5 linked regions of the Sus scrofa genome follow. The protein of the gene in region 4 interacts with the protein of the main gene of each other region in a pairwise test. Links are inferred from orthologs where the notes say so. Each region holds a gene or a part of one and is shown on either strand. Other genes may lie near its edges.

The links.
Region 1: the proteins of THAP7 (region 4) and CCNDBP1 interact in binary tests that used the Homo sapiens proteins (3 or more experiments, as listed by UniProt). The two-hybrid records come from large-scale screens. The link is inferred for Sus scrofa from reciprocal best matches to the Homo sapiens genes THAP7 and CCNDBP1.
Region 2: the proteins of THAP7 (region 4) and GOLGA2 interact in binary tests that used the Homo sapiens proteins (3 or more experiments, as listed by UniProt). The two-hybrid records come from large-scale screens. The link is inferred for Sus scrofa from reciprocal best matches to the Homo sapiens genes THAP7 and GOLGA2.
Region 3: the proteins of THAP7 (region 4) and LURAP1 interact in a two-hybrid assay, tested with the Homo sapiens proteins (2 studies listed by BioGRID and IntAct). The two-hybrid records come from large-scale screens. The link is inferred for Sus scrofa from reciprocal best matches to the Homo sapiens genes THAP7 and LURAP1.
Region 5: the proteins of THAP7 (region 4) and MTUS2 interact in binary tests that used the Homo sapiens proteins (3 or more experiments, as listed by UniProt). The two-hybrid records come from large-scale screens. The link is inferred for Sus scrofa from reciprocal best matches to the Homo sapiens genes THAP7 and MTUS2.

Annotation. Positions count from the first base shown.
Region 1 is NC_010443.5:128,254,974-128,260,644, forward strand, and holds the end of CCNDBP1 (cyclin-D1-binding protein 1), read right to left. Parts: intron 3,809-5,671; coding exon 3,748-3,808; intron 2,252-3,747; coding exon 2,205-2,251; intron 1,945-2,204; coding exon 1,833-1,944; 3' UTR 1,458-1,832; downstream 1-1,457. UniProt on the Homo sapiens protein: May negatively regulate cell cycle progression. May act at least in part via inhibition of the cyclin-D1/CDK4 complex, thereby preventing phosphorylation of RB1 and blocking E2F-dependent transcription.
Region 2 is NC_010443.5:268,709,258-268,714,834, reverse strand, and holds part of GOLGA2 (golgin subfamily A member 2), read left to right. Parts: intron 1-503; coding exon 504-620; intron 621-873; coding exon 874-917; intron 918-1,019; coding exon 1,020-1,083; intron 1,084-1,485; coding exon 1,486-1,545; intron 1,546-1,739; coding exon 1,740-1,820; intron 1,821-2,621; coding exon 2,622-2,660; intron 2,661-2,901; coding exon 2,902-2,964; intron 2,965-3,053; coding exon 3,054-3,147; intron 3,148-3,247; coding exon 3,248-3,354; intron 3,355-4,650; coding exon 4,651-4,709; intron 4,710-5,033; coding exon 5,034-5,175; intron 5,176-5,577. UniProt on the Homo sapiens protein: Peripheral membrane component of the cis-Golgi stack that acts as a membrane skeleton that maintains the structure of the Golgi apparatus, and as a vesicle thether that facilitates vesicle fusion to the Golgi membrane.
Region 3 is NC_010448.4:165,203,928-165,210,302, forward strand, and holds the start of LURAP1 (leucine rich adaptor protein 1), read right to left. Parts: upstream 4,265-6,375; 5' UTR 3,755-4,264; coding exon 3,557-3,754; intron 1-3,556. UniProt on the Homo sapiens protein: Acts as an activator of the canonical NF-kappa-B pathway and drive the production of pro-inflammatory cytokines. Promotes the antigen (Ag)-presenting and priming function of dendritic cells via the canonical NF-kappa-B pathway.
Region 4 is NC_010456.5:50,589,955-50,596,313, reverse strand, and holds THAP7 (THAP domain-containing protein 7), read left to right. Parts: upstream 1-2,535; 5' UTR 2,536-2,540; coding exon 2,541-2,753; intron 2,754-2,925; coding exon 2,926-3,005; intron 3,006-3,326; coding exon 3,327-3,482; intron 3,483-3,902; coding exon 3,903-4,043; intron 4,044-4,217; coding exon 4,218-4,782; 3' UTR 4,783-4,902; downstream 4,903-6,359. Other genes in the region: tubulin alpha-3 chain, read left to right, coding at 1,823-2,119. UniProt on the Homo sapiens protein: Chromatin-associated, histone tail-binding protein that represses transcription via recruitment of HDAC3 and nuclear hormone receptor corepressors.
Region 5 is NC_010453.5:6,201,520-6,207,096, reverse strand, and holds part of MTUS2 (microtubule-associated tumor suppressor candidate 2), read right to left. Parts: intron 2,220-5,577; coding exon 1,979-2,219; intron 1-1,978. UniProt on the Homo sapiens protein: Binds microtubules. Together with MAPRE1 may target the microtubule depolymerase KIF2C to the plus-end of microtubules. May regulate the dynamics of microtubules at their growing distal tip.

The sequences.
Region 1 (5,671 bases), on a different chromosome or scaffold from region 4:
ATGAGCTGTGTTGTAAGTCACAGACTCAGCTTGGATTCTGCATTGCTATGGCTGTGGTTTAGGCCAGCAGCTACAGCTCCAATTCGACCTCTAGCCTGGGAACCTCCATATGCCATGGGTGCAGCCCTAAAAAGACAAAAAAAAAAAAAACAGCTGCTGTTACTGACTATATCTCAAGAGACCAAGGGGATGTCAGAAGGGCGGATGTGATGAAGTACACCTATACAAGACAAAGGACCAGCATTAGAAGTATGGAAACCAGTAATACATGCATAAGGTCTAAGGCAGGTCACTAAAATATGCAGTATTGTATACCTTATTTTCCAAGATGTGATCTTCCATACTGATGCAAAAATATTATTGTCTGTTAATGATTTTGCAAAAGGATTAACCAAAGAGGCCCTTAAAGTTATATAAACTCTCAGACATTTAAAATTTTTGACTTATAAAAACTTTGTACTTGGGAGTTCCTGCTGTGGCTCAGTCGGTTAAGGACCCACCACTGTCTCTGTGAGGATAAGGGTTTGATCCCTGGCCTGGCTCAGTGGGTTAAGGATCTGGAGTTGCCATGGCTGTGGTGTAGGGCCCAGCCTGTAGCTCATATTTGACCCCTAGCCCAGGAACTTCCATGTGCTGCAAGTGCAGCTGTTAAAAAAAAAAAAAAATTGTGCTTACATTTGGAGACACATAATACAAAACAGACAATAACAATTTAAGTATGCATAAGGAAAACAAGGCTGTTCAATAAGGTGGACAAATCTTAATAACTGAGCTTGTTAACATAAAAAACAGAAGAGGCAGTTATTTTATCAGCAAAATGGGTTTGTTCTGGAACAGCAAAGAACTGCAATTAGGGTCAAGAAGGTTATAGTAAAAGCCACCACAAAGGAGGAAGTTGGGAGCAGCTGTTTTGAACAACTGCTCAAACGGAGGAAAGCGAGAGTTCTGGGTGATGAGGGGTTCCCACTGCCTTAGTAGCTGGGGTAGTCAATTTCTGGCAGGAGATGCAACTCACATCACTTCTATCAGGAATTCAGTCTTTCCTGTTACTTAGAGTGGCAGTGCATGAGTGCTCCCCCTTCTGGCCTCTCGACTCCATTTTTTTTTTAATTTTTTTTAATTAATTTTTTTAGTTAAAAAAAAATTTTTTTTTCAACTCTATTTTACACAAGATTTCCCCCTATTAATTTTCACAAGCTCAATACCAAAAAATAATTTCAGAGCCACTGAGTAACCTAACCTGGAATAATATTCAGGAGAAGTTGCTGGTGAGAATAACTATAAAACATGCTGAAGTACTAACAAGGCCTTTGGAGGCATCTGCTCTAAATAAAGTGTTTTTGTTCTAAATATGTTTCTGATCAGAATCAGATCTTTAGACCTAAAAACCTAAACAAAAGCAATATTCTAGTCTCAACCCACATATTTCTGGTAGAAAGACACTTTGGAAGGGTACCTCAGTTAATCAAGCATTTTACTGGCACCAAGCATTTTACTGACACTATCAACATCTTTAACAAAGAAATGACACACTTTACTGCAAAAAGGGCAGCTTCCCCAGGAATCTCTGAGAGGCAACTCAAGAACAAACACTCATACAATTATCTTTTGTATCTAGCACAGAAAAATATATCATACTTAAATGGTTTATAAATAATTACTAGTATGACCTAATCAATAATCTTTGGTAATAGTGTCTCTTAATTAATAAGTATAGACAGGAACTCCGTTTTGTTCTAGAAAGCATCCTAGCCCCACTCTAAAAGCAGACATCAGAGCTTGGCTGAGATAGTAGGAAAGGGACAGAGAAGAGTACGAATGAGCCTGAAAACTCATAATTCAACTTCATTAGTGAGCTCCTTGATTCTGTTCATGCAATGATCAACAGCATTAATAAGTAAAGGGATCCAGCTATCTTCTGGCTGTGGGGTCACATGACTTGCTCTGTGAATGGAATGGGAAAGAGAAATTAAATGTATTTACACTGACTGTCAAGGGAAAACCTATCCCCAACAGAGAGCACAGGGAAAACTACAGTAAGAAAAGCAAGTTTCTTTGCCGACACTCAGCTATTTCACAAGTGAAGATGAAAGAAAACACTATACCCACTTTCTCCTACTCCTCAAAATGGGGGTGAAGGAGTTAAGAATGACTGGACAGGTTTATTCTCAAAAAGCTATTTGGGAAGAAGTCTTCATACTCACTTTGTAATTTCCAGTGCTTTCTCTAAAACAGATACAAGTTTTGCAGCCTAGGAAAAAAACAAAGAAGTTACTCACTTTGAGCCCTACCATAAAAATGAAAGGAATAAAAAAAGAAAAGGAGAGTTAAAATATTTTAAGGAGCTCCTAAAGTTCCCATGTGGTATTGTCACTGCTGCAGCTTGGGCTACTGCTGCAGTGCAGGTTTGATCCCTGGCCCAGGAACTTCCCCATGCTCTGGGCACTGCCAAAAAAAAGAAGTTTAAAAAATATCTTAAGGAGTTCCTGCTGCGGTGCAGCAGGCTAAGGATCTGGCATTGTCACCACTGCAGCTCAGGTCACTACTATGGTGTGGGTTTGATCCCTGGTCTGGGAACTTCTGCATGCCAAGGGTGTAACCAAAGAAAAAATATTTTAAGACTCAACTAATAAAAACTCATTGGAAAAAAAAAAAAAAGAAACCTTGGAGGAAACAGTCAAAAACAAAAATGACTGATTAGATTAGGATGGTGGGATCATGGATTATTTTTTATTTAGCAAAATCTTATTAATACCATTGCTGTAATACCTTCATAAGCTTTTTTTTTTTTTTTTAATTTAAAATAGTTTTAGAGGAGTTCCTCTAAATAAAACAGAGGAGTTCCTGTTGCGGTTCCATAGATTAAGAACCTGACTTGTATCCATGAGCATGTGGGTTTGATCCCTGGTCTTGCTCAGTGCATTAAGGATCCAGTGTTGCAGCAAGCTGTGATGAAGGTTGCAGATGTGGATTCCTATTCTACTCCAAGGTGTCTGTACACTGTGAAGATGCATTTGATAACTTTAACTTCCACTAATTTATCTAATAAGGGCTGATACATCTAATGGTAAAATATTAGCCATTGGCAGTTCTACTTCTCTTTCCAATAAAATGATAAGAACTTAAAGTTTATAAAAATAAGAGAATAGAACTTGAGCACAGAACCAAGGACTTGAAAGTATAATAAAATCAGATTTTTATAAAGAGATTGACTCTTCGTGGTTAAATCACACATGTATTGATATTAAAGCAAAGTGTTTTTTGTTTTTGTTTTTTGGTTGCGCCTGTGGCACGCAGAAGTTCCTGAGCAAGGGACTGAATCTGCACCACAGCAGTGACAATGCTGGATCCTTAACTGTTAGGCCACCAGGGAATTCCCAGAGCATGCTTCTGAATCACTTATTTTGGCCTATAGCAGAAATTAGAAACTTGAGATTTCAGGTTGAGAGAATCCTAAAGCACTGCGGCAATTAAGACTTTCTTTTCAAAGCAGCATTTTTCTAAGGTCTCGAGGTTTTTCTAAATAATTACCCAAGTGGTTATGGAAGAGAGTACTACTAGAGCTCATTAATTCAAATTCAGCAAATATTTATCAAGTACAAACATATGTAAGAATTATGACACTACTGTTGTACTTGTACCAAGCATAACAAAGAAATACATTCCCTATAGCTTAAAGGAAACACTAGTGATCACTGAAATTCTATCAGTTAGGTCTGTGGCTACTCCCTCAAAGCCAGTACTTACATTGAGTCGCACAGTCAGGTGGCACACAGGTGGGTATATGCTCAGAGCCAAATCATCCACACTAAGGGCAGAAAGCAAAAATAACCATTAATACCCCAAAAAGAGTAACAACAACAAAAAAAGCTCAGCTAAATGATTTCTAATACACAACTATGGATGCAACTAGTGAGAAAATAACTCAGAAATATCTATCGGTTCCTTAAACCGGGCAACCAATGAATAACCAATTCGACCGGTATTTACTGAATACATACACACCCTGTTTCACGAAAGAGCTAGGGAAAAAAACTCCCTTGGCCATTAGGATGGAATGTGATTAATTCAGTTAAAAACATGAGGATCTGAAACCATCAATTTAATAACTGACACAGGCAGGGTTCATCCCTGAATGCCACTAAAATGGGCACCACTTTAACCAAGCAATCAATTTAGGACCACCAATAATGGGACAAACTAATAACTATGTGCCTCCCTGATATAATGCAATGAAAAGCAATTCTTGCCAAAAAATGTTTAAACTGAATATAATCTATAATCATGAGAAAACAATCACATGAATCCAGACCTTTGGATTTTCTAAAAGGCAACTGATCTAGACTCTGTAAAAATGTCAATGTCAAAAAAGGTTAAAAATGGAGTTCCCACCATGGTGCAGCGGAAACAAATCCGACTAGGAACCATGAGGTTGCAGGTTCAATCCCTGGCCTTGCTCAGTGGGTTAAGGATCCGGCGTTGCCATGAGCTGTGGTCTAGGTTGCAGATATGGCTCAGATCCTGCATTGCTGTGGCTGTGGCTGTGGCCGGCAGCTACAGCTCCAATTTCACCCCTAGCCTAGGAACCTCCATGTGGTACAGGTGCAGCCCTAAAAAACAAAACAAAAAAAAAGTAAAAAAAAAAAAAAAAAAAGGACAGAGACTATTCTAGTTGCAAGAGACCAAAAAGGGGAAAAAAAGAAAAAAGCTGTCAGAAATTTTACAGACAACTGGAGAAATGTAAATATTAGGTAATGCTGTTATATTCAGTGATAAATTTCTTATATGTAACACGAAGAAAAAGCATAAGAATGTCTGTTCTTAGAAGATACATGCTGAAATTTAGGGGTGAAATGTCATCAATATCTGCAACTTACTCTCAAATGGTTCAGGGATAAAAATGCTACATCTAATTATAGAGAAATAAATTAATACAGAAAAAAATGTGAACACCACCACCTCACACTGGTCAGAATGGCTATCATTAATAAACCTAAAAATAACAATGCTAGAGAGGCTGTGCAGAAAAGGGAACTCTCCTACAATGTTGGTAGGAATGTAAAATGTTAAAACCACTATGGAAAACAGTATGGAGGTTCCTCAGAAAACTAAATGTAGAACTACCATATGACCCAGCAATTGCACACCTGAGCACATATCCGGACATAACCATAATTCAAAAAGTTACATGCACTCGTACACTCACAGCAGCCCTATTCACAATAGCCAAGATAGGGAAACAACCTAAATGTCCATCGACAGATGAATGGATTAAGAAAATGTGGTACATACACACGATGGAACACTACTCAGCCATAAAAAAGAATGAAATAATGCCATGTCCAGCAACATGGATGCAAACAGAGAATCTCATATAAGTGAAGCAAGTCAGAAAGAGAAAGACAAATCCCATATGATATCACTTATATGTGTAATCTAAAACATGGCACAAGTGAACCTATCTACAGAACAGAAATAGACTCACAGACATAGAAAACAGACTTGTGGTTGCCAAGGGGGAGGGAGGGGGATGGATGGGGAAATTTGGTGTTGGTGGATGAAAACTATTACATTTAGAATGGATAAGCAATGAGGTTTACTATACAGCACAGGGAACTATATCCAATCTCTTCGGATAGAACATGATGGAAGATAGCATGAGATAAAGAGT
Region 2 (5,577 bases), on a different chromosome or scaffold from region 4:
AATGAGGGAGAGGCAGCCAGTGGTTGGGGTACAAGGGAAGGAAGGAGGGGAGTCCAGGAGAGGAAAGAGACAGGTAGCTCTGCTCCTTGTCACTGCTGCCCTCTGCCTGGCAGGGGCCCAGGGCGACGGTCACCCTGAGGCAGAGTGACTTTCTGGAAGAGCAGGAAGGGCCTGCCTTCTCCCCGACTTGACACACCTGCCTCCACCTGCTGTGGCTGCTGCAGGTCAGGCCCGTCCTGTCATTGGCTGAGCTCCAGGGAGATGAGGCCCTCGTGTTCACGGAGCCAGTGTAGTTCATGCTCTGAGCATCAGCCGTCCAGAAGGCTGCAGAGTGGCCTGGGGTCTGGGGAGCCATAGCCACACCCCAGAGTGGCTCCCAGCATGTGTGACTGTCACTCTGACTGCAGCAACACCTGTCCTACCCGCTCTGCACCCCTGCATTCATGGCAGCGAGGCGCCTTGTTCCCTGCATGGCCCTAACCCCCTGCTCTGTTCTGTGACAGGCACCCAAAGATAGTGCAGATCTTGTTACATCGTCTGCTGATGACACCGTGTCACCTGGCGGTGTCCTTTCCCCCTGTGCTAGTCCCCTCCGTGGCACTAGCATGGCAACAACTCAGGTTTGTGCCTCTGCCTGCTGCCTCACTGTCTGTTCGCCTCTCTTCCCCCCCGGTGGTCCTTCCCCCTCCTTCAGGTGGCGTGGTTGCTAGAGCCAGGCGCCCTGCCCGAGGGCTGGGATGGGGCAGGCCGACACCAGGTTCTCCTTAAGGTTCGGGGTGATGGAAGGAAATTGGAATGAACTGGGCACACCTTGCCCCTGGGTGGTTCTTACCAGAAATTAAATGACGGCTTCGGACATTTCTTCCCTAACAGAACCATGATGCTGAAAATGGTCCTGTTCCCATTGATGAAAACACGTGAGTGTCTCCCACGGTGACAGCAGTCCCCAGGCCACTGCCCATGACCCCCCTCTTTCCCCTCGAGCCTCCTGCCCCCCTGACTCCTGTATTTATCCCCAGATCTTTCTCATCCACCGAGAGCCTGCGACAGCTATCTCAGCAGCTCAACGGTCTTGTGTCCGAGGTACCCCCAACCTGGAGCCCCGAGGGGGCGAGAGAGGGAAGGAAAAGGTGGCAGAAAGGAACCGAGGCAGAGATTCCCAAGGCGGAGGGAAGGTCCTGGGAGCGGCCAGCTTGGCTGGACGATGTTTAGCTAATCATTACTTCCCTGAGTCTCCTCTTTGTAGCTGTACAGATGAAGGGGTTGGACCATGAGACTGGTTCCACCGTTCTGTCCTGCTGATGGGAGCTGCTTGGGAGGGAGGGACACAGAGAAGCTGGCACAGAGGGCTTGAGCAGGGGGAAGGGGACCAGCTTAGGCAGAAAAGGAAATGCTGCCAGTCGATGGGCAAGACAGGATGTCGGAGGGCTTAGGCCTCGAGGGGGACGGAGAACGTCTCCATGTGAGCCCTCTCATCTCTTCTAGTCTTCACCTTATATCAATGGGGAGGGCCTAGCATCTCCTGCTAACATAAAGAAGCTGGAGGTAAGTGGGCCTGGACCGTGGCCCCGTGACCCTGCAGGTCAGCCACCTCCCGCCCCCCCCCTCCTCCCACAGCGGGGGCTAGGTTCCCCACTGCCAGCTGAGACAGCTCAGACACCCCCCGACCCTAATGATTGCTCTCTCTACCTCTCCCCCCACCCTCCTCCAACTCCTCCTCCTCTCTGCATGCGCCTCAGAGCCGGTACCACGAACTATCACTAGCCCTGGACTCCAGCAATCTAACAAACAAACAACTCAGTAGCAAGATAGAGGAATTGGTAAGAGTCCAGTGTTGTCCCCGATTCCACGCTGCCAATCTGGGGCTCCAGTTCCACCTTGGGGCTCCGAAGAAAGGGGCTGGGGGCCCCTGGTACCGAGGGAGAATGGGGTGCCGGGGGCCCAGGTTGCAGTGAGAGGGACCCGGGAGTGCGGCATGCAGCATGGCTCTCTCTGTGGCTGCCCTCTTTGCCTCCTCTGTTCTCCAGACGCCCCTGCTGAGTCCTCCCCCCCCTTGCCCTGGGCCTGGTGCCTCTGTGGGTAACACTAGCTTGACAAGGGTGTCCCAGCCCCGGCTTCAGCCCCTGATTCGCTCCAACTTTGACCTTGGACAAGTCACCTGTCCTCCCTGGGCTTTAGGAGGTAGAATTAGAGGGCGTCCAAGGTCCCTTTGAGCTGGAAAAAAAAGAAAAAAAAAAATCAAAGATTTGAAGGTCCTTCTCATTCCTATATCCTTGCTGGTAAGAACACCCCAGCCCGTGGTATGTGCGTGTTGAGCGGATGCAGCCTCCCAGACTGCGAGCTGGCGGAGGATGTGGTCGCTCCCTTCTCACACTCCAGCTCGAGAGGCTTATGTCCTTGTCCTCGCAAGGGAATCAGGTTCAGACCCTTGGCTTCTGTAGCTGTGAGCCCCACCTCCCAAGACCCAGAGTCTCTTGGCTGAGAAGCGATGGCCCCTTCGTGTCCCCAGCAGCTCCTCCTTTGAAGCCCACCCCCGGCCCCTGCTCAGCCCTCCTCCTTGGTCTGAGGATTGTGGGAAAGGGGGCCGACCTCAGTCTCCTCCCTTTGCTTCTTCCCCACAGAAACAAGAGAACCAGGAAACTCTGGATCAACTGGAAAAAGTAACGTGATTTCTGTGTCTGTCCCCCTCACGGCTGGTGGCTTCGGGGGAGGGTTGAGACGTAGAGGCCCGTTCTCCTCGCGCCTGATCGCAGCCCGGAGAAATGGGGGGCTCCCTGGCCCTCGCCACCCCTCCCTCACCCCCGATTATATGTTCTCATTGGTGAGACTGTCCTGGGCCAGTGGTGGCTTTCTGGGGGGCACCTCCTCCAGGTGAGAGCTGTTTCTCCTCTCTTCCCGCAGGAAAAAAAGGAATTTGAGCAGAAGCTTGCGAAGGAACAAGGGGCTCTGAGAGAACAACTGCAGGTGAGTGGATCCTGCCGGGTTCCCTCGCGGCCTCCGGGAAACGTGACTTTGCTGCTTCTCAAGCCCCCCTTTCGGCCTTTGTCCCACAGGTCCACATCCAGACCATCGGGATTCTAGTGTCTGAGAAGACGGAACTGCAGACCGCCCTGGCTCACACCCAGCAGGCAGCCCGGCAAAAAGCAGGTGGGAACCTGGGTGCCCTGTGACCCCCTGGGCCGGGCACGCTGGCCGGCCTGGAGCGGGAGTCCTTCCTCGGGCTTCACCTCTCACGCCGTCCTTTCAGGAGAGTCGGAGAATCTGGCTAGTCGCCTGCAGTCTTCCAGGCAGCGCGTGGGCGAGCTGGAGCGGACGCTGTCTGCCGTGTCCACGCAGCAGAAGCAGGCCGATAGGGTGAGCCCGGCAGCCTAGCCCTCCCCGGACGTGTAGTGGAGGGCGAGTGAGCCCAGAGGTCCCTTCCACAGGATGGGGTGACTTGCTGCCCAGAAGGCGGCACTGGCCACTTCCCGCTGCTCTAAACTCGTGTGCTTGATAGAAGCAACCCAGGCATGAGTTGGTTGCCATGGGCCAGTTGCCCGTGTGTGTGTGGTGTGTGTGTGTGTGTGTGTGTGTGGGCGTGCACGCAAGTGCAGTCACAGTGGAGGTGCTGTCTAGTGTGAGCCCTGGATGCAGAGCTCAGAGTCCGAGTGCCAGCCCTGCCCTTGCCTGGCTGTGGGCCCTGGCCCCCATGCTAGGTATTTGGACTGTGAAGGTCCATGACGGTATTTTTAGTACGTTGCCAAACTAAAGAGGGGAGACGCACGCGTGTGTGATGTATTCAGACATGTGGGGAGGGATTCACAGCAACCTGGTGGGGAGGAACAGGGTGGCTGAGAGACTTGTCACTTCTGAACCTTCTGAGTTTGGGGCTCTGCAGAGGTACCATCCACTCAAACCATGAACACAAGCTCACAATACAGTTCAATCCCCCTCATAATGCACCCCCCCACCCCAGGGAGAAAACGTGGTTAAAGAATCAGACAGACCTGGGAGGTCCCGTTGTGGTTCAGCGGGTTAAGGACCCAACTGGTATCCATAAGGATGTGGGTTCGATCCCTGGCCTCGCTCAGTGGGTTAAGGATCCGGCATTGCTGCAAGCTGCAGCGTAGGTTGCAGATGCGGCTCGGACCTGGCTGTGGCTGTGGCGTAGGCTGGCAGCTGCAACTCTAATTTGACCCTAGCCTGGGAACTTCCACATGCCACGAGTGTGGCCCTAAAAAGGAACAAAGGAATCCAACAGACCTGGAAGCTTGGTCCCAGCTCTGGGTGATTTTGGGGGAGCCACTTGCTCTCTGCTACTCCGTGCTGGGCACCTGTATGATGGAGGCAGTAATAGTAACCGCCTCCCACGGTGATTATGAGGCTGAAAGGGGAAAGTGCTGGAAAAGGTTCAGACCTGGTGACGGTAACGGTGATAGAGCTGGTGGTATTACCTGCCGGCCCCGGGCCTGGGAGCCAGCCAGCCGGGAGTTAGACCCTCCACCCACCTCTTCCACTCTTCCCGAGTTCCTGTTAAAACTGAATGCGAACGTGAACTTGGGAAGGGCTTTGGAAACATGTAAAGTGTGACACCAGGTGAGGACACGTTGCTGAGAGTTACTGTTGCTGCCGTTAGTCTGTTTTCCTGACCTCAGCCTTCCGCCTTTGCAGTACAACAAGGAATTAACCAAAGAGCGAGACACCCTCAAGCTGGAATTATACAAGAACAAGTAGGATGGGGAGGACGGGGCGGGGTGGGGGGCCTTGGCTGGTGTGGGGCTGCCAAGTTGGGGGGGCATCCCAGTGAGCGGGGTGAGGAGGCGGGAGAGGTTTCGACGAGAGCAGAACTAGGCTCTCATGCCAGCTGTGCCGCCAACTCATGCTGCGGCCTCAGGCAACTCGTGTCCTGTCTCTGGCCTGCCGCTTGTGACTCCTGATCCCGGGGTCCCTTCCAAAGCGACTGTCCTGTGGTCCTGTGCCGAGGGTGGTGGGTTGATCACCAGAGCGGTCCTTTGCTTTTCACTCACGCCTCCCTCCCCTGCCTCCGAGCGCAGCAAAAGCAATGAGGACCTAAAGCAGCAGAAGTCGGAGCTGGAGGAGAAGCTGCGGCTCATGGCGACAGAGAAGGCAGCCATGCAGCTGGGGATGGAGGAACTTCAGAAGAAGCTGGAGATGTCGGAGCTGCTGCTGCAGCAGGTGGAGCTGGAGCCCCAGGGAGGGTGCCCCTCTGCCCCCCGCAGCAGGCCAGGGTCTCAGGGATACCTAGGGTGGCCTTGGCCAGGAACTAGAAGACTTGGATCCTTGTTCTGGTCCTGCCATGGAATCCTCCAGAGGTGGGAGAAAAATTAAGGCCTTGCCCAGACCTCCGGAATCATAATCTCAGGGATGGGTTTGCTTTTTTGTTTTTTGTTTTTTGTTTTTTGTCTTTTAGGGCTGAACTGTGGCATATGGAGGTTTCCAGGGTACGGGTCTAATCGGAGCTGTTGCCACCGGCCTACATCAGAGCCATAGCAACACAAGATCCGAGCCGTCTGCGACCTATACCACAGCTCACGGCAATGCCAGATCTTTCACCCGCTGAGCGAGGCCGGGGATTGA
Region 3 (6,375 bases), on a different chromosome or scaffold from region 4:
AAACAGCTCAGAAGACATGCAGTCTCTGAAGCCACTTCAACCCGATTCTCTTCCCAGGGAGATTCAGGCTCCTCATTCCTCCCCTTAGCACATCACATCAGACTCTGCCCAGCGCTAAGGTCACGCGTCTGGCTCACTCAGGGCTCGATCTAAATCAAGCCCTAGGATAAAAGCCCAGAGATCAGAGTCCTGGCTCCCTGGTCCTGGACTGAGATTCCCAGAATGTTGTCACCAGGAAGACTCGCAGAGATCACCTGCCCCCCACCCCCACCCCCACCCCCATCCCGAGAAATAGAAAAACAGGCGAAGAGAAGCAGGGCTCTGCTCAAGATCACAAAAGGAGCCAGGACTTGAACCCGTGCCTTCTCTCTCCTGGCTCAAAGCTTTTGCTCAAACTGCTCAGTGGGGGTGGGTTGTCATGACAACAGTTCTGCGGGTGGGAAGATTAAATAGGGGACATTGCCATTGTTTCCCCCTCCCACAGATCCCAGAGTCTGTCTGGTTCACTCAGCCTTTGCAGAAGCGAGGGAAGCAGCCCAGAGGCAGGGGATGACCTTGGCCTCCAGAGTGGGCCTGCCCCCTCCCTGCAGGGAAACTGGGAGAGGAACAGTTGAAGGACGGTGCTTAGAGGGCTTGGACTAGCTCTGCCACAAGGAGCTCAGAGGAAACCCACTGCCTGGCCCCTGGTCCTCCCTGTGTGCAACCCAGTGGGTCGGGCAGAGGGCATAAAGAGACCAAAGACACCTGAGGCCCGGGGGGGAGAAAGGAATCCATGGGGTACATAGCGCCCCCGGCCCCCACCCCCTACCCCGTACTGGTCCCCCGGAAAGCTCCCTCCCTCGTGCTCTTCACGGGCAGCTCAGGGCCCCAGGCCAGGTTGGTCAGAAATGCCCAAACAGAAGTTGTTTGTTTTTGTTTTTGTTTTTTGTCTTTTTTTGTCCTTTTCTAGGGCTGCACCAACGGCATATGGAGATTCCCAGGCTAGCGGTCAAATCGGAGCTGTGGCCACCAGCCTATGCCAGAGCCACAGCAACGTGGGGTCTCAGCCACGTCTGTGACCTACACCACAGCTCACGGCAACGCCGGATCCTTAACCCACTGAGCAAGGCCAGGGATCGAACCCACAACCTCATGGTTTACTAGTCAGATTTGTGAACCACTGAGCCACGAAGAGAACTCCCCAAACAGAAGTTAAACGTACCCGCTTTGGAGTTCCCACTATGGTGCAGGGTGTTAAGAATGATTGCAGCAGCTTGGGTCACTGCGGAGGCGGGGGTTCAATTCCCGGCCTGGGGCAGTGGGTTAAAGGCTCCATTGTTGCCACAGTTGCAGTGTAGGTCACAGCTGTGGCTGGAATTCAGTCCCTGGCCTGGGAACGTCCATATGCTGCAGATGTGGCCATTAAAAAAAAAAAAAAAAAAGTTAAATGTACTCCTTAAAGTTTATAAACAATAATCTCCAAAGGCAGAAAAGAGAGCCAGAGAGACTAGGCATGGCTACTCCCTGGCTCCCACTGTCAGCGCAGGCAAGCATGCTTAACTTGTGTAAGCGTGCTTCCTCTGTGAGACGGGAAAATGATGATTGCTTTTCTAACTCTAATGACAGCAAAAAACGTTTCATGTGTCTGGTGCGAAGCAGGTCTCAATGGCGAAGCTGTAAAGCAAAGGCAGATCATTTGGGTTCAAAGCCTGGTTCTGCTTTTCACTTTTTGTATGACTCTATACCTCAATTTCTTTTTCTTTTCTTTTTTTTTTGTCTTTTGCTTTTTCTAGGGCTGCTCCTGCGGCATATAGAGTTTTCCAGGCTAGGGGTCTAATCGGAGCTGTAGCCACCAGCCTACACTAGAGCCACAGCCACGCCAGATCTCAGCCATGTCTGCGACCTACACCACAGCTCACGGCAACGCCGGATCCTTATCCCACTGAGCGAGACCAGGGATCGAACCTGCAACCTCATGGTTCCTTGTCAGATTCATTACCCACTGCGCCGTGATGGGAACTCCTACACCTCAATTTCTTTCTTTTTTTGGGGGGGGGCACATGCAGAAGTTCCAGGCCCAGGGATCAAACTCAAGCCACAGCAGCTACAAGAGCCATAGCAATGACAACACTGGATCCTTAACCCGCTGAGCCACCAGGGAACTCCCTGTACCTCAGTTTCTTCATCTGTAATATACCATCTACCTAATAAACTGCTGTGAGGACTCGTAACATGCTCAACACGATGCCTGGCACTTGTACTTGGTGAAGTCAGTTTCCAGAGCAAGACACTCTGAGTAAGCTCTTTCTAGGCCTTGAGCTAAAGTTTGCACAGCGAGACAAAGCTGGACCCCTCGCTTGGATCAGCACAATTACAGCCCTACTCTGGAGAATTTAACAATTGCTCCAACCTTCCAGGCCAAGTAGACACAGGGCATTCAAACCCTTCCCCCAGGAAGCCTTCCCTGATTACTTTGCCCACAAAGCTCTCCTCCCAGCCTCTGAGGTTGTCAGGGAGCCTCCATTTCCACCCTCTCCCCACGCTCCACAGTTCAGCCTGGCACAGAGCTGGGCACACAGTAGGGCTCCAGGAAGACCTGTCCGCTGACATATTTACTGTGGGTTCCTGTTTCTGGGCCAGAAAGTGGCTGGCAATTCCTCAGTTCCCCAGAATTGGCTGCAAAGTGGTGGCAGGTGTAAATCACCCCCTTCCCCGGAACCAGGGAGCCTGGGGAGTGTGTGCCCAACTGCCCTTTTGGCTCTGAATCTAGATGAGCAGCAACAGGAAAGGGGAGTTTGGGTACCTGCTTCTTTCGCTTCTCCTCAGATGAGATGCAAATATCCAGTGTACTTGGGGGTTGGCAGGAAGGAGACTGTGTCAGAAGTGATGGGACCCCTAGCCTGGGAACCTCCGTATGCCTCAGGTGCAGCCCTAGAAAAGCCAAAAAAAAAAAGGAAGAAGTGATGGGACCAACACTGCTGGCGCTGCTCCTGTGTGTCTGCTAAGGTTCTAGGAACTTTTGAATATTTTAAGTGGGTGCGGGGGGGCGGGGGGGTGTTGAGGAAAGAGGATGTTTTTAGTGGCCCTAGTCCAGGCAGTTTTCACCCATATCGCTTCTGTGCGAAATCTTGTGGTGGATACTGGGGCCTGAGAGGAACAAACCCTGGGCCCAGTCTGCAGAAGGAGAAAAAACTGGTCGCCCTGTAATGGTGGCTAGGCCGGGAGAGGTGGCCTCCAAGTCAGGGGGAGCGGGAGATCTGTGCTGCGCCAGGTTCTCAGGGCTTCCCCGTCCCCTCCTCTCCCTCCCAATTATTTGGCAGGAAAAAAAAAAAAAAACTTAGAAAAACCGGCACCTCCCATCCTGATTCCTCAGGACCCACGAACACCCCACCCACCCTAGGTGGGGAAGGCGTTCAAAGGACCCCAGGGTTTAAAGATTGATTAGGTCGGAATCCTGAGGAGTTGGGCGGGGAGTTTTAACTCCCTCCTCTCCAGCCCAACTCCGAGAGCGCGAGTCCATCCCTCCCAGCCCCATGCTAGGGTCTCCGGCCCCCTGGCCCATGGAGCCCACACTCACCAGCTCCGTCCTCAGCGCCATGATCTTGTCCCCCAGGCCGTGGCCGGTGCTGGGCGCCCCTGGGAGCAGCAGGGCGCCAGAGGTGCCCGGCTCCCACTCGCCTCGCAGCCCGCGCAGCAGCCCTTCGGGGGTCTTCCTGCCCACCTTGCCCTCCACGTCTCGAAGGTCAGGCGTCTGGGACTCCGCAGTCCCCTCCATGCGGGTCTAAGGCTGCACAGGGATGGGCGACCGGAGCCGGGATCCCGCTCCTGGGGGTCCTCCTTCCTCGGCCGCTAGTACGGAACCAGTGGGTCCCCGCCCGCTCAGTGCGGGGGCGGGAGGAGGGCGCCGTAACCCTCAGAAAAGCCGCGCAGAGCTCTGTGTGTTTGTGCGTGTGTGATTGCGTGTGTTTGCGCGCGCTGGCTCCGAAATGGGTGAGGCTGGGCGATCCTGCTTATGCACCTGGAGGAGAGCTCAGCGCCTGCTCCCGACTCTGGCACTCAGTCCAGCCAGGTTGTCAGCAGGCGCCCAAAGAATGTTTGCTGAATGAAGGTTAAGCATTTGCAGTTAGGGATGTGGGATTTTAAGGAACAGTGGTAACAGAGATGCAGAGGGTTTTGGAAGGCTTCCTAGAGTAGAGGAGCTGAGTCTGTAACAGTGGAGGAATTTAGCTACCCACTGATGCACGCACACACAAAACCAGTGTAGCCACTAAATTTAGACTATAAGCGTGGAAAGTCAAGTTCTTCTGGCCAATGAGGGGCAGCCAGTATTGAAGCTGAAGGGGTCCAGATGGGCTACATCGTGATCTTGAAAACTGATGCCTCTCAAACTTGACTATGCATATGTGAAGTTTCTGTGAATCTTGTTAAAATGCAGATAACTGTTCCATCCATCTGGGGTGGGGCCTGGGATTCTGCATTTCAAACAAGCCCCCTGCCGACGGCCCTGCTGCTGGTCCAGGGACCACACTTGAGTAACAAGGTTATAAAGATGGTTCTGTGCGTGGATTTTATTCTACGGGCAATGAGGTGCCATAAAAAACTTTTTATGCTCTAGCTTGATTTTGATTTTCAATCCGAGTTATTCAAGCCCATCATTACAGAAAGATGTGTAACGAAAACATAGCTATTACCGCCATCCTATTCTTTGCCGCCTCTAGTCGCACTACCCAGAGGCAATTACTTTTAGCTATGTTTTCCTGGTGCTTATACTCATAACTCCAAAATAGGTTTGTAGCACTATGTCTTAACTTTCACATGATCTGCTACCTATTATGAAAAATATGGGTTTACCTCACAATCTGTATTTCCCTTCTTCCATTGGTCCCACACATTTCTATCGTTATTTACTTATTTATTTATTATGGCTGCATCAGCAGCATATGGAAGTTCCCAGGCTAGGGACTGAATCCGAGACACAGCCGTGACCTATGCCGCAGCTGCCTCAATGCTAGATCTTTTAACCCACTGTGCCAGGCAAGGGATCGAAACCCATGCCTCTGCAGTGACCACAGCCACTGCAGTCAGATTCTTAACCTACTGCACCACAGTGGGAACTCCTACATATTTATTTATTTATTTTCTCTTACAGCCACACCTGAGGCATATGGAAGTTCCTGGGCTAGTGGTCAAATTGGACCTGCACATGCAGGCCTATGCCACAGCCATAGCAACACCGAAGCCCAGCCACATGTGAGAACTACACCACAGTTCATGGCAATGCTGGATCCTTAACCCACTGAGCAAGGCCAGGGATTGAACCCACATTCTCATGGATATTAATCGGGTTGGTAACCTGATGAGCCATCATGGGAACTCTCCTATTTTTTATCTTTTAATTAAAAAAATTTTCTTTGGGCGTTCCTGTTATGGCTCAGTGGTTAATGAATCCAACTAGGAACCATGAGGTTGCGGGTTCGATCCCTGGCCTTGCTCAGTGGGTTAAGGATCTGACGTTGCCATGAGCAGTGGTGTAAGTTGAAGACGTGGTTTGGATCCTGAGTTGCTGTGGCTCTGGCATAGGCTGGCAGCTGTAGCTCTGATTAGACCCCTAGCCTGGCAACCTCCACATGCCGTGGGCGTGGCCCTAGAAAAAAAAATTTTGTTTTCCTTGGCCACACTCAATGCAGGTGGAAATTCCCAGGCCAGGGAGTGTACTTGAGCCACAACAGTGACCCAAGCCTTTGCAGTGACAACATGGGATCCTTAACCCTTGCACCACAGGAGAAATCCCATGGAAGGGTTCGTTTTCATCATAAACATTTTAAGAATTTTTGAATTGGAGCAGAGTTGACTTACAAAGTTGTAAGTCAGGAGTACAGCGAAGTGAATCAGTTATACATGTACACATATCCACCTCTTTTCAGGGTCTTTTCCCATATAGGTTATAACGCAGTACTTGAGTACATCTCCCTGTACCACACAGTAGGTTCTTGTTACCTGTTTTATATACAGTAGCGTGTATATGTCAATCCCCACTCCCTAATGTACCCCCGCCCCAACATTTTCCCTTTGGTAACCATAAATTTGGTTTCAAAATCTTTCGGTCTGGTTCTGTTGTGTAAGTTGTTCTGTATCATTTTTATTAGATTTCACACATTAGTGATCACATATGATATTTGTCTCTGTCTGACTTACTTCGCGTGGTATGATAATTTCTAGATCCATCATGTTGCTGCAAATGGCATTATTTCCTTCGTTTTCATGGTTGAGTAATAGTCCATGATATGCTTCTATTGTGTATATGTCCCACATCTTCTTTATCCCATTCTCTGTTAATGGACATTTAGGTTGCTTCTACGTCTTGGCTATTATAAATAGTGCTGTAATGAACATTGG
Region 4 (6,359 bases):
CTCACACCCAGAAGCACGGTCATTTTAGGTGGCAACTCAGCTGTATTTAGCGTCACAATGAACCTGTGTTTGGAAGTCAAATAACAGAAGGTCCCACTTTAGATCTATTGTGATTACCAGGCTAAAAGCCTCTCACCATGCCTGCAGTGGTTTACTTTGTGCCCTGGTTTTTGATAAAAGTCCTTGTTCACAACTGATTGAAGACTGACAGAGTGACTCACAGAAAAGGGTAAAATCTCTAACAAATTTCACTGACCTGGAAATGTTCATTAAACCTTTTGTAACAGGTTTGCAGACCTTAGAGTTATACGTGGGGGTTGAAATCCTCCACTCACCATGATCTCTGGAAGGCAAGGACATCCATAGAGGTTTCAGCTGGGCAGCACCATGGTGAGGTGTAGTGTCCTGTACCGATTCCCCTCCTCACTGGCTGAATTCCTGAGCCAGGCGAAGATTGGTCTGTGGAAAGGTACAGGTCACAGCTTTGTCCATAGAAGCTCCTTCTTTTTTCTTTTTTTTTTCTTTTTTCTTTTGAGGGCCACACCCATGGCATATGGAGGTTTCCAGGCTAGGGGTCAACTCGGAGCTATAGCTGCTGGCCTGTGCCAGAGCCACAGCAACATGGGATCTGAGCTGTGTCTGTGACCTACACCACAGCTCATGGCAGTGCTGGATCCTTGACCCACTGAAGCGAGTTCAGGGATCAAACCCGCAACTTCAAGATTCCTAGTCAGATTTGTTTTTGCTGCGCCACAACAGAAACTCCCATAGAAGCTTCTGAATCTTAGAAGATGGTTCTGCCCCAGATGGACTGTGTTGAACTCTCATGGCTTCCAGTCCTTTTTGTTAGTCTGTGACTTCACCATTTTTTCAGGGGTATACTATTTCCAAGGAGTCTTTTCTGTGTTTAAGTTATTTCATTATAAAAAGGCAAGTATGGTGCAAAATATTAAAATGGTCCAAAAAGCTGGTGAAAAGCTGAAGTCCTCTTCCCTTTCAGAGCTTTGTCCTTCAAGAGATACTCTGTGCGTATTCACATCATGCTTCTTGGTAGTGATCTTGACAGCAAGAGGCCAGCAACACAGGCAAAGAAAATACACTCTTTTCATGTAGGTGACAGACTTGACTCATCGCACACAGGTAGCCAAAGGGAAAAGCAAGGTGGCAGCCATCCTGTTTGGAAGGGCTGGCCAGCCTGGTCTTAGAGCTGGGGGGTAGGGGGCACCCCTTGATCAGATCAGAACCCCCTGTACATGCCCCCTGCTCCCAGTTCCTCTGGAGAAGAGCTGCGTCAAGCTGGTGCTGGCTGCCAGCTGCTCCTTAGGTCAGGGCCAGCCATCTGTCCGCACTCTACCAGTTGTTTGTCCTCCAGCATGGTATCTCCCAGCTTTGGTTGTTACTCTGTAAGTATTTTGAAGTATAAACACTCAGGTAGAATTCAACTTGCTCTGCTTTCTACCAAGTATACAATACACCTTGGACATATTTACAGGCCAGGGCAGGTTCTTCATTCCTTTTCATCATGGTACCGTGTTTTACTGTAGAGATGTGTGATAACTTGTTCCCCAGGAAGGACATGTTTCCAGTTTTGCCATTTCAAACAGTACCCTAAACTAAATACATAAAAATCTCTATACATGTAGCTTTTGCTCTTATGTGGGTAAATCCAAAACGTGACAGTATTGGGTCAAAGAATATTAAATGTTGTCAGATACTGCCAAAAAAGAAAGTACCAATTCCCATGGGGCCTTGTTTTAAAAAACAAGGTACCATTTTTCACGCCACAGTATAAACGTCTCCATCTGTTCCCCTTCTCTGGCAGGTGGGCATCAACTACCAGCCCCCCACGGTGGTCCCAGGGGGAGACCTGGCCAAGGTGCAGCGGGCCGTGTGCATGCTGAGCAACACCACGGCCATCGCCGAGGCCTGGGCCCGCCTGGACCACAAGTTCGACCTCATGTACGCCAAGCGTGCCTTCGTGCACTGGTACGTGGGGGAAGGCATGGAGGAGGGCGAGTTCTCGGAGGCCCGGGAGGACCTGGCGGCTCTGGAGAAAGATTACGAAGAGGTGGGCGTGGACTCGGTGGAAGCGGAGGCCGAGGAGGGGGAGGAGTACTGAGCGGGAGGGCGAGGCGGCCCCCCTTCACCCTGCTCTGTAACGTTCCAGATGTGTTTACCTATTAAAGTTTCTGTATTGAGTGTCGTCTGCTCCTGTGTTGCTCTTCGGCCAAGTTCCCCGACCAGATACTTGCCTTTTCCGAGCGAATTCCTAGGGAAAAATCATGTTTCCTCCCAAAGAGAAAAAATGAGGCACCTCAGTTGCTGTATTACTTCCAGAATAAGAGTATAAGGCCAGTGGGGAAATCGGGGAAAATGTTTTAAGTTTAAACACTCCGGATCCTTCGCGCCCTTCCTCCGGGACCGGAAGCGGTCCGGGTCACAGTCGCGGGACCACAGCGTTCACCCTCCTCGCCCCGTCCTCTGGAGGAGCTGCCCCAGAGCCTCCCTCCCGTCCACAAGGGGCACCTCTCATCAGAGGCATGCGTGCCCGCCCAGCCAGGGCTCCGCATCGCACGACCAGCCCGTTCTTGTCAGAGTCGTTTCGGTCCTGCGCGCGGCGCCCCGCAGGCCGACCACTTCCGGGGCCCGCTCCGCCCCTCAGCGAGCGCCGCGCGCTTCCGGGTCTCTATGGTACCGACTTCCGCCGCGAGCCACATCTCGCGAGACTTCGGCGGCGCAGCAATGGCGAGACCGTAAGTGCCGCTGACGGGAGACGGGAGAGTGGGTTGGGAAGGGCCTCTGACGAGATCGGGCCGGTGTGGACGCGCCAGGACGGGGCCGCCTGGAGCAGGGTGGCGGCTAGGGGCGCGAGGCTTGTCCGGGCCCAGATAGCAGCCCGCAACCGAGTTCCTGCCTCTTCTCCAGATGCCGCGTCACTGCTCCGCCGCCGGCTGCTGCACGCGGGACACGCGAGAGACGCGCAACCGCGGCATCTCCTTCCACAGGTCAGCGCGCGTGCGCGCTGGCGCCGAAAGGGTCACGTGTTCATTAGTCTGTCCTGCCCACCTGAGGAGCCTTCACTGCGCACGCGCTTCGGCGGGTCCGGCGAGGCTTGAGTTAGAGGCTGATGGTGGGCGGAGCTGCGGTGGAGAGGGAACTAGCTGCTGTCAGAGGCACCCTGGTGCAGAGCCAGTCGCTTTACGTTTTGAGGCCTCAGCTTCCTAGTCTGTGTGCCCACAGGGTCCGGGGGCAGCATGAGTCAGGCCGGCCCTTCCCATCCGGTGTGTCGCCGGCGGCCCAGCTCTGACAGGCTTGTTGCCCTACAGGCTTCCCAAGAAGGACAACCCGAGGCGAGGCTTGTGGCTGGCCAACTGCCAGCGGCTGGACCCCAGCGGCCAGGGCTTGTGGGACCCAGCATCCGAGTACATCTACTTCTGCTCCAAACACTTCGAGGAGAACTGCTTTGAACTGGTGGGAATCAGGTGAGCCTCCTGCTGACACCAGGGCAGGCCGCCCTGGTTCTTCCCAGCTCAGAATCTCAATTTCCTCTCCGGACGGAAGCAGTTAGAGACACACACACCCCGGGTATCACTGTGCCAGAGGGTGCTCCTGGAGCCCAGGCACGCCAGCAAAGGCACAAACATAGCCGCTCCTTTCAGGGGGTCAGCCCAGTTCTGGTGGGGCCTTTCCAGTCACCTTAATTCTCAGGAGGCTCTCATGGAGGAGATGGGGTACCTCTTAACTTGGCATCCCCCAAACTAGCTGTTTGCAGTGTGCCTCCCACCTGCCCCAGTGCTAGCCCAGGATCCTGTTCAGGGGCTGGGGGGCTGCAGGCTCCGCACCCTGCAGGTCAGCCTGGGGTGCAGGCCCTCTTCTCTACTTCAGACTGCTTTCCCCTACAGTGGGTACCACAGGCTGAAGGAGGGAGCAGTCCCCACAATATTTGAGTCTTTCTCCAAGTTGCGCCGAACAGCCAAGACCAAGGGGCACAGTTACCCACCCGGCCCCCCTGATGTCAGCCGGCTTCGGCGATGCAGGAAGCGGTAAGCGCTGCGCTGGGGGATGTCCCACTTCACGTCTGAGGGACTGGGCTTTCGGATGGAGCCTTGCTGGACAGGGCTCTGAGCCTATGGTTCAGGGATGGGGGTTAGGTGGGCTGGTGAAATGAGGTCACTGAGCCCTGAGCCTGGCCTGTCCCTTGCTCTGTCTCCCTGTAGCTGCTCTGAGGGCCGAGGGCCCACGACTCCGTTTTCTCCACCTCCACCTGCTGATGTCACCTGCTTTCCTGTGGAAGAGGCCTCCGCACCTGCTGCTCTGTCTGCTTCCCCTACTGGGAGGCTGGAGCCTGGCCTCAGCAGCCCGTTCTCAGACCTCCTGGGGCCCCTGGGTGCCCAGGCTGATGAAGCAGGCTGCAGCACCCAGCCCTCCCCCGAGCGGGAGCCCGAGCGGCAGCCGTCCCCTCTGGAGCCTCGGCCTGTGTCACCCTCAGCCTACATGTTGCGCCTCCCTCCTCCTGCTGGAGCCTACATCCAGAATGAGCACAGCTACCAGGTGGGCAGTGCCCTGCTCTGGAAGCGGCGGGCTGAGGCTGCCCTTGATGCCCTGGACAAGGCCCAGCGCCAACTGCAGGCCTGCAAGCGGCGGGAGCAACGGCTGAGGCTACGGCTGACCAAGCTGCAGCAGGAGCGGGCACGGGAGAAGCGGGCACAGGCAGATGCCCGCCAGACTCTGAAGGAGCATGTGCACGACTTTGCCATGCAGCTAAGCAGCAGCATGGCCTGAGTGAGGAGCTGCCCATCAGGGTTCCTGCCTCTTCCTCCTTCAGGATCTGCCTAGAGAGGGACCTGACTTGAGCTGTGTCTGACCTGCCAGATGCCATAATAAAGCGGTTTCTAGGAGTTCCCATTGTGCCTCAGTAGGTTAAGAACGTGACTAATATCTGTGAGGATGTGGGTTTGATTCCTGGTCTTACTCAGTGGGTTAAGGATCCAGTGTTGCCACAAGCTGCACTGAAGATAGCAGATGCAGCTCGGATCTAGTGGTGCCATGGCTATGGCATAGGCCCCAGCTACAGCTCCAATCCCTGGGAACTTCCATTTGACACAGTATGTCCCTTAAAAAAAAAAAAAAGTGGATTCTAGAAAGAAGCCCTGTTCTCTGCCTCTGCTGGGGGTGGGGCCCCCTCCCTCCCCTGAGGTCTGCTTCCCCCCAGACTGGCTGTAGCCTGGAGGGCTCAGACCCTGGAGGCCAAGCTCTTGGCTGTGGAGAGCAGAGCCCAGTTCTTGGCAACCCCTCCCCAAGCAGCTCCTTGTTCTACAACATTCTCTGAGGGACAGGGTGGTGTGCATAGAGGTCGGGGGCAATGCTGGGCAACCTTCACTTGACACTAAGCCTTGATTTACCCAGCTGGCCTTTTTGGAAACAGTCATAAAATCCAGGCCAGATTTACTTCGTTTTCAAGAAAACAACAGACTTCCATCCCCAGACCCAATGTCCTTGGCAGTCAAACATGGCAGAGTGTCTGTGCCCCAGCTGCTGCTCAGCCCCCACTCAGCACAGGCCTGCTTCATCTGCAAAATGGACAAGATTACTGATCTCAGGCTGCTGTGCCTGGCAAGCAGGGAGGGCCCCACAACCACCTTTCTGGTCCCTGAAGATATGGGATGAGGCATGGAGACCAAAGGGCCATGCACGTGGGCCAGTCCTGGCTCAACCTGTCATCTTCCTTCAGTCCAACTGGACCATGGAAGGCCTCTTGGCTCCTGTAACCATCAGCTCAGAGTGTGAGGACTTAACTTGGCACATGACATCTCCCTGCTGGGCCTCAGCCACAAAGGTCCCAAGAGCATAGCTGAATCCTTTTAAGTCCTGGAAATGGGCCTGCAGGGATGTGAAATTTGCTGCCTGGGGCCCTCAGAGTCCAATTTCATTTATTCACTTCATGCCCGGGAGAGGCAGATGCAGAGCAGGATCACAGGCAGGTCTCGAGGCGTCTCCTAGCGTGCTGGTGGCCTGCAGGTAACTCCCCTTGCCCTAGAATGTCCACCTGCATCTGGCACCTGGGGCTCCTCAAGGCCTGAGGTATGGCAGGTGCCCCAATAAGATGAGGCACAGCCAAAGGCAGGAAACTAAGGCGCTGACCATTTTCCCTGAAGTGGCTTCCTGGCAGCCAGGACAGAAGGGTTCTTACTCCCAGAGGGGAGACAGAATCGTACCTTCTCCACTGGAGTGGACTTCACCTTCCATTGGGACAAGGAAGGACTCTGCCTATCCTTAGTTTCCCAGCTCAGGAGCAGAGGAGCCAGGAGAGCTGGCTGTGGGCCCCAGGCCTCTTGGGTGGGGGGTGGGGAGAGGCCAGA
Region 5 (5,577 bases), on a different chromosome or scaffold from region 4:
GGTTAGGAACCCATTTAGTATCCATGAGGACGTGGGTTTGATCCCTAGACTCGCTCAGTGGGTTAAGGATCCAGCGTTGCCGTGAGCTGTGGTGCAGGTGGCAGATGCGGCTCGGATCTGGCGTTGCTGTGGCTGTGGCATAGGCCGGCAGCTGTAGCTCCAGGTAGACCCCTAGCCTGGGAAGCTCCCTATGCATCGGGTGTGGCCCTAATAAGCAAAAAAAAAAAAAAAAAAAAAAAGAAAAGAAAAGAAAAGAAAAGGATTTGTGAACAGATGAAAAGTGTGACATGGTCACTGCTGGACTGCAGGAAGGTCCCTCTGACAAACCACATAGCCCGCAGGCCCAGTCCAGCCTGCTGCAGACACGCCTCATGTAACTGCACTTTGCAGATAGTTCATGTTTTGTAAATGGAAGATCTGTGGCAACCCTGCCTTGAGCAAGACTCTTGGTGCCATTTTTCCAACAGCATTTGCTCGCTTAGTGCTTCTGCGTCACATTTCAGTAATTCTCACAATATTTCAAATTTTAAGTTGTTACTCTGTTTGTTGTCAGGATCTGGGATCAGTCACCTTTGAGGTTACCAGCAGGACGTGCTGAAGGCTCGGAAGATGGTTAGGGCTTTGAATAAATAAAGTTTCTTTTCTTTGAATAAATAAAGTTTTCCCATGCCCGCAGCATGGGGAGTTCCAGGCTAGAGATTGAACCCATGCCATGGCAGTAACCCAGGATGCTCCAGTGATGAGAGAACTCCCCTCCACCACAAGAGAGCTCCCCAGTATTTTTTTTATTTATTATTTATTTATTTATTTATTTATTTTGTCTTTTTGCCATTTCTTGGGCCGCTGCTGTGGCATATGGAGGTTCCCAGGCTACGGGTCCAATCAGAGCTGTAGCTGCCGGCCTACACTACAGCCACAGCAACGCGGGATCCCTGACCCACTGAGGAAGGTCAGGGATCGAACCCGCAACCTCATGGTTCCTAGGCGGATTCGCCAACCACTGAGCCACAACGGGAACTCTGAGAGAGGTCCCTAGTAGTTTTTAATTAAGGTATATCTATTGTTCTGTGAGACACGGTGCTACTGCACACTTAACAGACCACACTACAGGGTGGACATAATTTTAAATGCACTGCGAAGCCAAAACTCCCTTTACTGCAGCATCGGCTTCACTGTGTGGTCCAGAACTGAACCCACAGCATCTCCAAGGCCTGCCTATATCTGGTTTTGTAAATTGAATTGTAAATTGAAAACACAGCTGGACGCATGTATTCACGTTCTGTCTATGGCTATTTTCTTGCTAAGTAGGGGTTTTTTTGGTTTGGTTTTGTTTTTGTTTTTGTTTTTTTTCTGTCTTTTTGTCTTTTCTAGGGCTGCACCTGCGGCATATGGAGGTTCCCAGGCTAGGGGTCTAATCAGAGCTGTAGCCACCGGCCTAGGGCCACAGCCACAGCAATGTGGGATCCGAGCCACATCTGCAAGCTACACCACAGCTCATGGCAACGCTGGGTCCCTAATCCACTGAGCGAGGCCAGGAATGGAACCCAAAACCTCATGGTTCCTAGTCAGATTCGTTAACCACTGAGCCACGACGGGAACTCCCTTGCTGAGTAGTTATAACACAGACCATTATGGCCCCCAAAGCCTAAAATATTTACTATCTGGCCCTTCACAGAAAAAAAAAAATTTCTAAACCCTAGTCCATAGGATGTATCAGAGAAGGGAGAAAATACAGGAAGTGAGGTGGTGGTTACAAGGGCCATTGTTTTAAGGTGACGTGGAGGATGACAGGTGCAGAGAGATGAGCCTTGTCTGTATCTACAACCAGATGGAAGAACAGAACAAGGATCTTCTAAGGCAGGACAGGCACTCATGCTTAGTTACCATCATTTTACGTGATTTATGCTGGTTAGGTCTCTGCTGGTTCTAACACTTTATGAATCTTTCAGGAAAAAGCAGCCCTTGTGGCCCTGGTTACCTGCAGGGTCGGAACTGTAGAGAGCGGCAGCGGTCGCTAGGGTTCCTGGCGGGTGGATGGCGCTCGCTGAAGACCTCTGACTTGCGATCAGGATCCGACTCTTGGCAGACGGTAAACGTGACATCGCGCCCAATCCCAACTGGGGCTTAAGGAGCATGGCCGATCGATAGAAGGTTGGAGGAACTTCATAGTGCGTATAGGGAGGAGAACAAAATTCCTCTTTTCCAGGGCGTTCTGCAACCTACGATAAGTGACCAGAAGCTCAGTCAGAGACCCGAGCATCATAGGACGAGTGCTGAACCCAGTCCAGACACCACGGCGCCAGCAATGACCACCGGGCACCATCGAGTCGCTCCACCCCCCGTCACTTACATTCACTGGACCCCGCGTCTTCATCTCCAAGTGGACCACGGCTGGATGCCCTCTTAGGTCTATGCTGGTTCTAACACTTTATGAAACTATATTTCCCTGGGAGAAAAAAGAACCCCCTCTATAAGATTTTTAAATTTGATCACCCCCAAACCATTGGAATTTGTGCAAGAAGTCAATCTATAAATAAAGACTGTCAATGATGCAAGAGGAGAATTTAGCAAATGTTCATGGAATTCGGAAAGTTCCATGATTGCTAAGGAGGAGAGGCACAATTTTTCTAGTGACCTAGTCTTCCGTGAAGTTGATGAACTTTATCAGGTGATGTGACGTCTTTATTAGGCTACTTAGGAAATACACTATGCACGGTTAATGAGGGAGAAAAGGTTATTGGGAGGAATGGAGAAGTTAATGCAAAGACGTCTTTGCTCAGGCCTCTACCTTCTGTTTCCATAATTAAAAAGGAGAGACTGTGAACTACCTCTGATTATCGTTCCTAGTAAGGTGGTGCCTGCAGGAATGTTTGAGCAAGTCTCACCAGGATGGAAGTTGGGGGCAGAGTCTTGCGTGAGGACTGCTGAATGCATCGCACCTAGAACAGCATTTAGCGCAGGGGCTGAAATCAGCAAACCTCTGGGAACTAAAGGGATCGTGTTTCCTTCTTTCCTGAATTTAATCACGTGACACCATGTGACAGTCTGCTGTGGTTCACAGGGCGGATGAGGATACTATTGATGGCTACCTTTTAAATAGGCAATCCTGTACTCACAAGCCTGTTCACAGTATCAGTGTTTCTTCACGGTAAAAAGAGAACGAAATAATCTTATTTCTTTTAAGTTAAAAAAAAAACAAAAAACATAGTGCCAGAGGCTACATTTGAAAAGATACAGATGTTAATTAACTCCGCTCTAAAATCACAATGCATTCGACTAGTCAAACCTCCATCTCTTCAGAAATCACAGGCGTTTAACCATATTCTTTAATAGGGGCTGTAAAGCTGTAATCCCGGATGTGGAAGCGATAAACCCTTAATTTAATACCCTTTGACTGTTGAAAGAGATACAAAGTTCTCCTCAAATTGACATTATTGAAACAAAAGACGAGGCCTTTAAAGTTTTATCATAATCACATTATAAAATATGCATGATCGCTAGAGCAGATAGATGGAATTCAGGCCACGGCAAATTCAATTCCTGTGAAAGAACATTCTACATCTGCTGCCTGATAAAATTTTCACCATTTTCTACTTACGCTCTTACTATCAATCCTCGGCTTTTCTATTATACTCACATTTCCTCTATTTTTTTTTAAATTTTACTTTCTAAATGTTTGGTGTCATTGCTCATTGCTTTTAGCTGGTGCTCCCATGAAGAAATCAGTATCATTTCTAACCTACATCTGCTGAGATTTTAGGATTGCAGTGTCCTCTGTGTCAGTAATGATTCTGTTCTTTCAAACCGGACAGACTCCAGGGGTCAAATCCATCCCACTGTTGGAGTTCCCATTGTGGATCAGCAGAAATAAATCTGACCAGCATCCATGAGGACGCAGGTTCAATCCCTGGCCTCGCTCAGTGGGTGAAGGATCTGGCATTGCTGTGGCTGTGGTGTAGGCTGGCTGCTGCAGTTCCAATTCAACCCCTAGCCTGGGAACCTCCAAATGCCACAGGTACAGCCCTAAAAAAAAAGAAAAAAAAAAAAAAACCCACCCCGCTGTCATTCAAAAATAACTTTAATGTTTTCAAGAGCTTCAATGTCTATCATTTTGTTGGGTAATTTGTCTCTAGTAAGATAACAAATTCTTTACAAAGGTGAGACGTATGCCTCAGATGCCTCATCTGTGCACTTTTAATAAAACAAGAGAGTCTACAAAAAGCTTCACATGCTTTGCTTTCATCTCTATTGACAGGACAGAGCAGGATTCACTGCAGTCACAAATGCAGACAGATTCAACCCAAATGGGGCTTTTCTCTCCTTCTCTAAAGGAGTCTTTCTAGAGAAATAATTTTGAAAGCAAACTAAAGCATCTTTGTGATTTCAAACTTCTAAAATCTCTCAAGTCACACAAGGAACTAATAAGTTCTCACTAGATTGTCCCCCTTCCCGTTTGCCCTGTCCTGTTCTCAGGGGACCATGGGCCGGGGAGACACCAGGCAAATGCTGAAGCTTCACTGGGACAGGTGCAGGGAGAGGGCTGGGGATGGCTCATGGTGTCACCTTGATAGGCAACGCAACTCAGAGAGTTGGGCAAGGATTATTCCAGATGTTTCTCTGAAGGTAATTTTTTTTTCTTTGGATGAGATCAACATTGAATTCAGTAGACCTTAAATAAAGCAGATTACCTCCTGAGGTGGGTGGGCCTCATCTAATCAGTCAAAGGCCATAACAGAAAAAGACTGACCTCCCTCAAAGAAGAGGGAAATCTGCCAACTGACAGCTTTTGGACTTGAACCGCGGCATCAACACTTCCCTAGGTCTCCAGCCTGCCAGCCCACCCTGCAGATTTTGGATACGCCAGCCTCCATAACTGTGGGACCCAATTCCTTACAGTCTCAATAGATAGAAAACCAGGTACACACACCCATGCCTGTGTAGACGATCTGTTTCTCTGGAGAGCGCTGGCGGACAGCGGCCCACAGTGATGAGGTGGTGCCAGTGAGGGGAGGGGAGTCCAGCCCCCCCCACCCCTCCGCACACCTGTATCCTGCAAGCACACTGCCTCACCTGGTCCTCAGCCCTGCTGCCCTCCTCCTCCTCCTCCTTATACCAGTCCCTGATGCCAGGGCTCCCCGAAGGTGTCAATAGGAGGAGGTGCCCCCAAGGCCTCAGGAGAGCCAACAGCAGACAGCAGTCTGGACAAGCAGGCCCACTTTATCACCCTGGCATGACTGACCCAGGATGATCTTCAGAGCCACTTCTGAGGCTAAACACAGATGGGGAGCCTGTGGGTTCCATCAGGTCATAGCTTTAGGAGCAAAGGCCAAAGACCACCCTACTCTCCGAGTTTGATTAGACATCTCCCCAGAAATGAGCTCACCACTAACAGGGGCTCGGGCTTCTCTGCTCTACCCGGCAGCCTGAGGAAAGGGCCTGGGCCTTGGATTATGGCAGAAAATGGCCCTCAGCAACAGCAGGTGGCACGCAGTGACACTGCTGTCCCCACACCAACAGGGTCTCTCCAACCCCTCCGAGCGCCTAAAGCCACACAAACACCCATTCCCTCCCATTTCC